Callithrix jacchus: one gene and its partner. The protein of the gene in region 1 interacts with the protein of each later gene in a biochemical or structural test. Links are inferred from orthologs where the notes say so. Each region holds a gene or a part of one and is shown in the gene's direction. Other genes may lie near its edges.

Region 1 (3,644 bases):
CTTCCCCCAGGGGTCCCATGCACTGGGTCCTCAATATGCATTCTGGGGTAATAGGTTTGAATTCCCCTCCTCCCTGCTACCAAGTCCTTCTCAAGTGGGTCACAGTGATCGATAGCAGAAGCACCTCACTTCTTCCTGTGTCTTCAGGTGGTGGTGGTGCTGCAGCAGGTCTTCCAGCTTATCCAGAAGGTGCTGAGCAAATGGTTGAATGATGCCCAGGTGGTGGAGGTGAGCCCTGGCCCTTGCCCTCTGCTCCATAGTTACTTCTTGGAGGTGTAGCAGGAGTAAGATGTTGCCATGTTTCACTTTGCAATGGTTTGGAGAAAACAGGGGAGGTAAATCCTGCCGCATAGAGATAAGGAATCTTTTGGGAAGTCATTCAGAACTCTCCAGTATCGTGAGAAATGCTTAACTCAGGGACTGTAATATTAGGGTTGAGTGACAGCCAGCCATCTGTTTTGGCATCAGAAACCTGCCTTTGGTCCGTTTTCAGTTCAGGTTTTTGTTGCCATTGCTGCTCCCTGAGAGGAAATGGTGGAGATGTAAGTAGCAGGAGTTAAGTTCCACAGTTCCATCCTGTGCCCCTCAGTGAAGGGCCTTTGCCCCCTGCCAGAATAAGGGTCAGACTTGCTTACCGTCCTTGGTTTGCAGCCCCGGCAAGGCTTATAGGTAAGGGCCCGATCTTAGGCCCGCTCTGCGGGGCTTCAGCGCTGTTCCAGTTAATCGTGACCTGCTGACCAGGGTCCCTTTGCTTTCTTTCCAAGGCGGTGTGCGCTATCTTTGAGAAGTCGGTTAAGACGCTGCTGGATGACTTTGCCCCCATGGTGCCACAGCTGTGTGAGATGCTGGGTCGGATGTACAGCACCATCCCCCAGGCCTCTGCTCTTGACCTCACTCGACAGGTGGGCCTTCTGATTGGGGCAGAAATCCTAACCCTGGGTGGGGGTGGGTCAGGTAGCTGCTGTGTCTGGGGTACCCACTTGCATTCCAGGGATACTGCCCCACTTGCATTCCAGTGAGACTGGGTCTCAGCTGACCAGCATTCCCTGCTTTGTTGTAGCTGGTCCACATCTTTGCTCATGAGCCTGCCCACTTTCCCCCAATTGAGGCCCTCTTCCTGCTCGTCACCTCCGTCACACTTACTCTCTTCCAGCAAGGTAGGTCCTGACCAGGGTCTCTGCTGCTGCCGCCACTGCCACTGCCTCTGCTTCCCCAAATGGGGAGCCAAAGCTGCCCACTTTGTTCTTCTCTGTCCCCTGAGTCACATGTGGGACTTGATGGGAAACCTGTGTAATCAAGCACAGCACCTTACAAATAGTTGAAACCTTAGGTTGAAGTGGATAAGAGGGTGAATGATGTCTTCTACTGGCCTGCTGGGCTCAGGGCCAGTCTGGATATGGAAGAAGGAAGTGGGGGTGGGAGGTGGGCAGAGGCTTGAGGGGCTTGGGGCACTAGGCGGGCTCCTTTACTTTGGGATATAATGAAAAGAGGAAAGAGCACGGGCTTTTGAAGTCAGCTAGACCCAGATTCTAAGTTCATCACCACCAACTAGTTGTGTGTCCTTGGGCAAGTCACTTACCTTTGCTAAGCCTTCATTTCCATATCTGTGAAACGGAGATACCATATACTTGAAACGATTGTTTACAGGTATTAAAGTCACATCTTCTGGGCCCCTGGTTCAGGGGCTTTTGCACAATGAAGTACTCAGAGACTGCTGGTTCCTTTCCCTGCATCAAGGCTTAGTCCTTTCTAGGCCAGAAGTCAAGTACCTTTGGCTGTAGACCTAGCCCTCCATTCCCTGTGACCCTTTGCCTGAGAGAGTTGGGAGCAGGGGCTTCTATTCAGGCTTCTCATGTTGTCTAATCCAGGCTTCCAATTTGGAAAATCAAAAACAAAAAAACAGCACTGCCTCGTGAGCCTTGCCTGGATTCATGGTCACAGGTTTGAGGCTCACCAGGGGCCTCAGTTGGTACCCAGAATACTCTTAGCTTATAACCTCAGTGGTCTCATGATCCTGGCCTCTGTTCCTGTGGGCCATGGAGTAAGTCCAAACTGGGGAGAAACCTGAACCAGAAACCTGGTGTGGTCATCCTCAACTCCACCTCTCCCACTCCCTGTACCCAATCTAGGATAAGCCCCATCGATCCTGGCTCCTGATTCTCTCCACGTCGGCCCACTTCTACCCACCTCCGTGGCCACTGCCTGCGTTTAAGGTCTCACCTGGATTATCAACAACCTTCTAGCGGGTTTTCTTGACATCTCCCCTTCTCTCCAATCTGTTCTGCACACTGCAGCTATAATCTTCATAAATTGTCTTCCCAGGCTTAAAACCCTTTCGTTGTTCCCATTGCCCTCAGCTTATTGTTTCATTCCCACCCACATGACAAGGCTCTGGCATGCCTCTAATGTCCTCTCCTGCTGGCATCCTCATGACTCCAAAATACCAGCCACACTGCCCTTTCCTTACTGTGTCCCATTTGATACCTGTGCCTTGTGCCTCTGACTAGAATGTCCTAGGCCCTTTACTGGGTGAACTCTCACTCCTTCATGTCTCAGAAAGGAGGAAGACTGAATCACTTCTCAGAGTAATTTCTCAGAGGTGGAATTGGGTACTTCTAACTGTACCGAAACTGCATCCTGTACACACTGCTGACACAGCACTGAGCACACACAACAATCAGCTTTCAATGTCTGTCTCTCTTACTAGACTAAGCCCCTCCAAGGGCAGGGTTGAGTTTCTTCTCTCTGCATCCCCAGTGCCCAGAATGAGGCCAGAATACAGCAGGCTGCAGACACTGTTAAACAAAGGAGGGGAAGGGCTCTCTGCCCTTGGAACCTTTCCTTCTCTCTGTCTGGCCCACCTCTAGCAGGGTGGCTGCTGAACATCAAACCTGCAGGGTGCACATTGGGCCTCACTTTCTCGGACTTAAATAACTCAGGGTTCAGATACCAAAGGGATAGGCTTTATTTGTCGGCAGCTCTTCATAGCCTAGAGAGGGAAGTAGGGCAGAGATTATCTGCTTTACAGATGGGGAAACTGAGCATTGTGGCTTGCGCAAGATCACACAGCTACTTAGTGGTGTCTTAGGCAGATGGTTTTGCACCACATCCTCCTCAGAGTGGAGAAGCCTGGGTAGGAGCTCCAGGTGCATGCCATATTCTTGCCTCAGGAATCATCAGAACTGGAGGCAGAAGTGTCCAACATCTTATCTGTTGGGCTTTGTTGGTTGTCTTGCTGGACAGGATGGCTTCTATACCTGTTATGCCATCCCAATCTTAGCCATTCCTTCCTCGGGCTTTGCCTTCCCACTGGACCATGGGATGACACATTGATTGCTTTCCCTCTTTCTTGGCATGTCCAGATGATGGGAACTAGTCCTCAGCCCTGAGCTTGGCTCTCTGCTGAGTCCGTGTCCATGTGGAAGAGCTTTGCTGGGATGAGGCTCTTGTTTTTGGCCTTACGATACTGTTTCCTCCTATGGGCCCTGCTAGTGACTTGCTGGGCCATTCCATAGCATGCTGGGCACTGCCCTACCTAAGCAAGAGTCCTCTGGTTTAAGTGGACCGAATAGATTCTTTTCCTTGGCCAGACCAAGAGCCCTAAGGCCATTGAAGTGAGGTGGCACTTACTCAGGCTCTGATGC
Region 2 (4,237 bases), about 9.7 Mb from region 1:
CAGTTCTGCTAGGTGTACATTATTACGCTCATTTAAAGAGAAGGAAACTGAAGTCTAAAAAGTTGAGTCAGTTCACCTATAGTTACAATGAGTCACTGTTACACAAGCGATTATTTTAACCCATCTCCAGTGATTTTCCCCCACCACACCTACTCTACACTCTGCTTCTAATGCTTTTTCAGGGAGAAAAGGACTCAATGTTAAGACTGGGGACAGGAATCAAGACTGCGGTCCTGTCTGATTCCTGTCCCCAGTTCTAGTTGCCAGGTCCCAAGAATGATGTCATCTAGGCACTGTCTCTAGAACCATTCGTTCTAAGCTGGAACTTAGATGAATGAAAGTAGGCTCCTATTATAAAATTATGATCTTGATTGCCCTGGGCCTACTCAACTGTACATTTTTTCAGAGCCAGAAAGGCTTCATAGAGGACAATCACTTTACCCTGAAAAGAGCGAGCCCCTTTGGTCAGTGGTCCTCAACTCTGACTCACCTGGGAGCTTTATAAAAAGTACCAATTCCCAGGCCCAGCGGTGGAGATTTTAATTGGCTTGGGGCCCTGGCATCAGTATTTTTAGAGGCTCCCAGGTGATTGCAATGCGCAGCCAGGCTGAGAATCACTGCTGAGTAAATGGGATGAGTAATGGGAGATCAAATACTCACTTTAACTTCTCAAGCACCTATTCTGGAGACCAGTGGGGTAGAAAGATAGAAATAAAAGGTAGAAAGGGATGCAATGGATAAGTGTGAGTGAATTAGTTCCAGGGAAATGGCAATCTCCACTGTGGATTCAGGGAGAGCGTCACTGAGGACGACTTTCTTTTTTTTTTTTTGAGACAGAGAGGACGGCTTTCTTAACATTCAGGTCAGTGGAAGCCAACTTGAGGCACATATCGTGCGCGGCGTCCTCCGAGGAGCTCGGGTCATTTTACCCCACTTTACTGCCGAGATGACCTAGGTGCAGAGACGGTAAAGAGCGGTGTACGATTCACACAAGTCGGAAGTCCTGTGAACTGAGGTTGAGCCTGGCGGGTGCAAGGCTCGGGGTGTTCGGCCCGAGGTCTTTAAGTGAGGTCTCTGAACTCCTCGTTCAAAGCCCAGAGGTTGGTGAGCGGTAGGCTCTCGGCCTCAGGCCTGGAGAAAACCCAGGGGGTTGAGGGGTCAAATCTCAACCTCGCTCCCGCGTCCAGCTGGAGGGACCGAGCTGCTCGGCCCAGCCTCCGGACTAAACAAAGTTCGTTACCCGTGTAGCAGTCTTTTGCCGCTTCCGGGCGAAGAGGTTAGCAAGAGTGAAACCCTCCACTACGCGACGTCGTGGTAACGTCACTTCCGCGCGCCGCCCCAAACGTCAGTGTCGGGCGCAGACCGCGGCGGTGCGGCTTTCTCTTCGAGGTTCCGTCTCGGTTGTCTTTTGCGAGCCATGGAGAGTGACTTTTATCTACGTTACTACGTGGGGCACAAGGGCAAGTTCGGCCACGAGTTCCTGGAGTTTGAGTTCCGACCAGACGGTAAAAGCAGCCTGTAGCCTGCCGGGAGCGGGGACCAGGGATAAGGGCGGGCTACAGGCTGCCCGGAGTCGGGAGGCGGAGGGTCGGAAATCAGTGTGGAAAGACAGGAGGAAGGGACTGAGACCTGTGCAGCGAGAATCTGAAAGGAACGCCCCTGTGTCTGCTCCAGGGTTTTTTTGTTTTTGTTTTTTTTTAATCCATTTAACCAGTGTTGACCTTACGCTCACTGTGTGCCAGGCTCTGTTCCACTCTTTGGGGAAACGGCAGCGAAGGTAGACAAACTTCCCCTCTCATGGAATTTGTGTTTTAGTGCCGGGAGAGAGATCATAAACAAAAAGATGATTCCAGATAGTAGTGAGTGATTAAAAAAAAAAAGGTAGAATAATTGCTGGATGGGCTGCTTTTAGATAGGTTGACCATTAGAGCTCTCTGTAAAGGGTATATTGCAGCCGATCCCTACTTAACAACAAGGACCCAGCCTTGTGAAGCTCAGGAGGAAGACCATTCCACCCAAAGGGATTGGCAAATGTCAAGGCTGCAGGGCGGGAATGAGCTAGGCATGCCTCTCAAGTGGTCAGTGTGGTTAAAGAGTGATAAGGTGAGAGATAGCAGGAGATGACGTCAAATAGGTAGGTAGGAGCCACACCTTGTAAGTCTTTAAAGACCATGGTAAAAGCTTTGGACTTGAAAGGTTTGTTGTTGTTTGGACTTGGAAGGGTTGTTGTTTGTTGTTGTTTTGAGATGGAGTTTCGCTCTTTTTGCCCAGTCTGGAGTGCAGTGGCACTATCTTGGCTCACTGCAACCTCCGTCTCCCGGGTTCAAGAGATTCTAAGCCTCCGCCTCCCGAGTAGCTGGAATTACAGGCACCCACCACCACACCCGGCTAATTTTGTATTTTTGGTAGAGATGGGGTTTCACCATGTTGGCCAGGCTGGTCTCGGACTCCTGACCTCAGATGATCCGCCCACCTTGGCCTCCCAAAGTGCTGGGATTGCAGGCGTGAGCCACTGCTCCCAGCCGGACTTGGAAGGTTTTAAACAGAGAAGAAATGGGATCTGTTCTTGAAAAAGCATTCTGGTTATTGGGTGCACAAGGGCAAGAGTGGAAACAGGGCTATTGATTAGGAGGAGACTGTTGCAGTTGTCAAGACAAGAAAGTTATTGGTTGGGACTACGGCAACAGTAGAAATGGAGAGGATGGTTTAGGAAACTGTTGGAGGCAGAAACAGTTGGACTTTGCTGATTGATAGGATCTTGTTGAGGGGGCACTGTGGTGAAGGAAAGAGGAATCAAAGATAACAGAAAACATCCACTAAGTGGGGCACAAAGATGAAACTGACAGGCCTCGACTGTGAGGGAGATAGATTTATAAGCAAACAGTGATGAAACAGTGTATTGGGTGTTGTGGTAAAAAGAAACAGAGGAGGCTCGCAGCAGAGAAGAGGCACCTAACCAAGCCAGAGGGTCAGAGAAGGCTTCCTACATAAAATGATGTGGGAGAAAGGGATGTGAGGAATTGGTTAGGAGACCAAGAGTCAAGAAGGCATTTTAGACAACATGCAAAGAGGCTGAAAACCAAAAAGTGCTTGGGATGTTTCAGACAGAATACCAAATAGTTTGACTCCAGCCATGTGAGAGAAGAATATTGCAGGAGTGAGGCTAGAAAAGCAGGCAGGGGCCAGCTTAGCTGTATGCCATGTTGAGGAGTTTGGATTTTACCAGGAAGGCAGTGGAAAGCCATTAACTGTATTAAAATATTAGAGTAACCCAATCTGATAGGTCTGTTACCACATCACCGCGTCCACCGTATGGACAGTGAACTGAATGTGAAGAAACTTGAGGCAGAGACACAACACAGAGGCTGTTGGATAAATTCATTTGGCTCATCTCACATGTATGTCTTCTAGTCTACGGCAGGAGAAGTCATGTCTTCTATTTACTTTTATCTTCCCCTCATCCCCACCATATACTCACATTAACCTATTACATGCACCCATGGACAAAGGGTCTGGTGTACCAAATATGCTCAGTGATAAAAGCAACAGCTTTTCCATCACAGAAATAGAGGGTGGCACAGTCACATGATAATATATGTAAACAGCATCCTACAGTTTTCAAAATGTTTTCACAACTCATTTGAGCCTCAGGAGGTCCTATGTACGGGTAAGTTATCAATTACTATGCCTGTTTTCAGGATATTAACCTGCAAAAATGTGATTTGACAATGTCAGAAAAGAGCCTGCTTGTGTTTATATCTCACCTGAGCTGCGTTTTGCAGTAGAGTGTCAGCTGTATATTTGGCTGTTTAAGCCTGAAGTGAACTGAAAAAGACTAGTATTGTTGATATACCATAAGAGTAAATAATAAATCTATTAGACACTTTGAGCAAGTTAGATACATTTTAGGGAACTGCTGATAGTCTTGGTATGTATTGATGCTTTTATTCATATGTTTTTATTATACATGGAATTTGTTTTTTGCCCCCACAGGGAAATTAAGATACGCCAACAACAGCAATTACAAGAATGATGTCATGATCAGAAAAGAGGTATGAGTCTTCTGCCTTCTGAGAGTCCTTCATTTGCTACATTTCAGCTTTTTGTCTTGCATTTTTTTGTTCTTTCTGGTAGTACTGAAAGGTAGAGAACAGGGAGAAAAACACATGTCTGTAGACAGCTTCTGGATTATTTCCCAAATCATCTTTTAGTTGGTATTTTTTTCTTTTACAATGTG

What was found. The genes of interacting proteins can lie anywhere in the genome.
Region 2: the proteins of IPO13 (region 1) and MAGOH form a complex in vitro, tested with the Homo sapiens proteins (2 studies listed by BioGRID and IntAct). The link is inferred for Callithrix jacchus from reciprocal best matches to the Homo sapiens genes IPO13 and MAGOH.

What each region holds. Positions count from the first base shown.
Region 1 is NC_133508.1:80,628,983-80,632,626, forward strand, and holds part of IPO13 (importin-13), read left to right. Parts: intron 1-147; coding exon 148-228; intron 229-764; coding exon 765-902; intron 903-1,060; coding exon 1,061-1,157; intron 1,158-3,644. UniProt on the Homo sapiens protein: Functions in nuclear protein import as nuclear transport receptor. Serves as receptor for nuclear localization signals (NLS) in cargo substrates.
Region 2 is NC_133508.1:90,378,445-90,382,681, reverse strand, and holds the start of MAGOH (protein mago nashi homolog), read left to right. Parts: upstream 1-1,347; 5' UTR 1,348-1,417; coding exon 1,418-1,505; intron 1,506-3,993; coding exon 3,994-4,052; intron 4,053-4,237. UniProt on the Homo sapiens protein: Required for pre-mRNA splicing as component of the spliceosome. Plays a redundant role with MAGOHB as core component of the exon junction complex (EJC) and in the nonsense-mediated decay (NMD) pathway.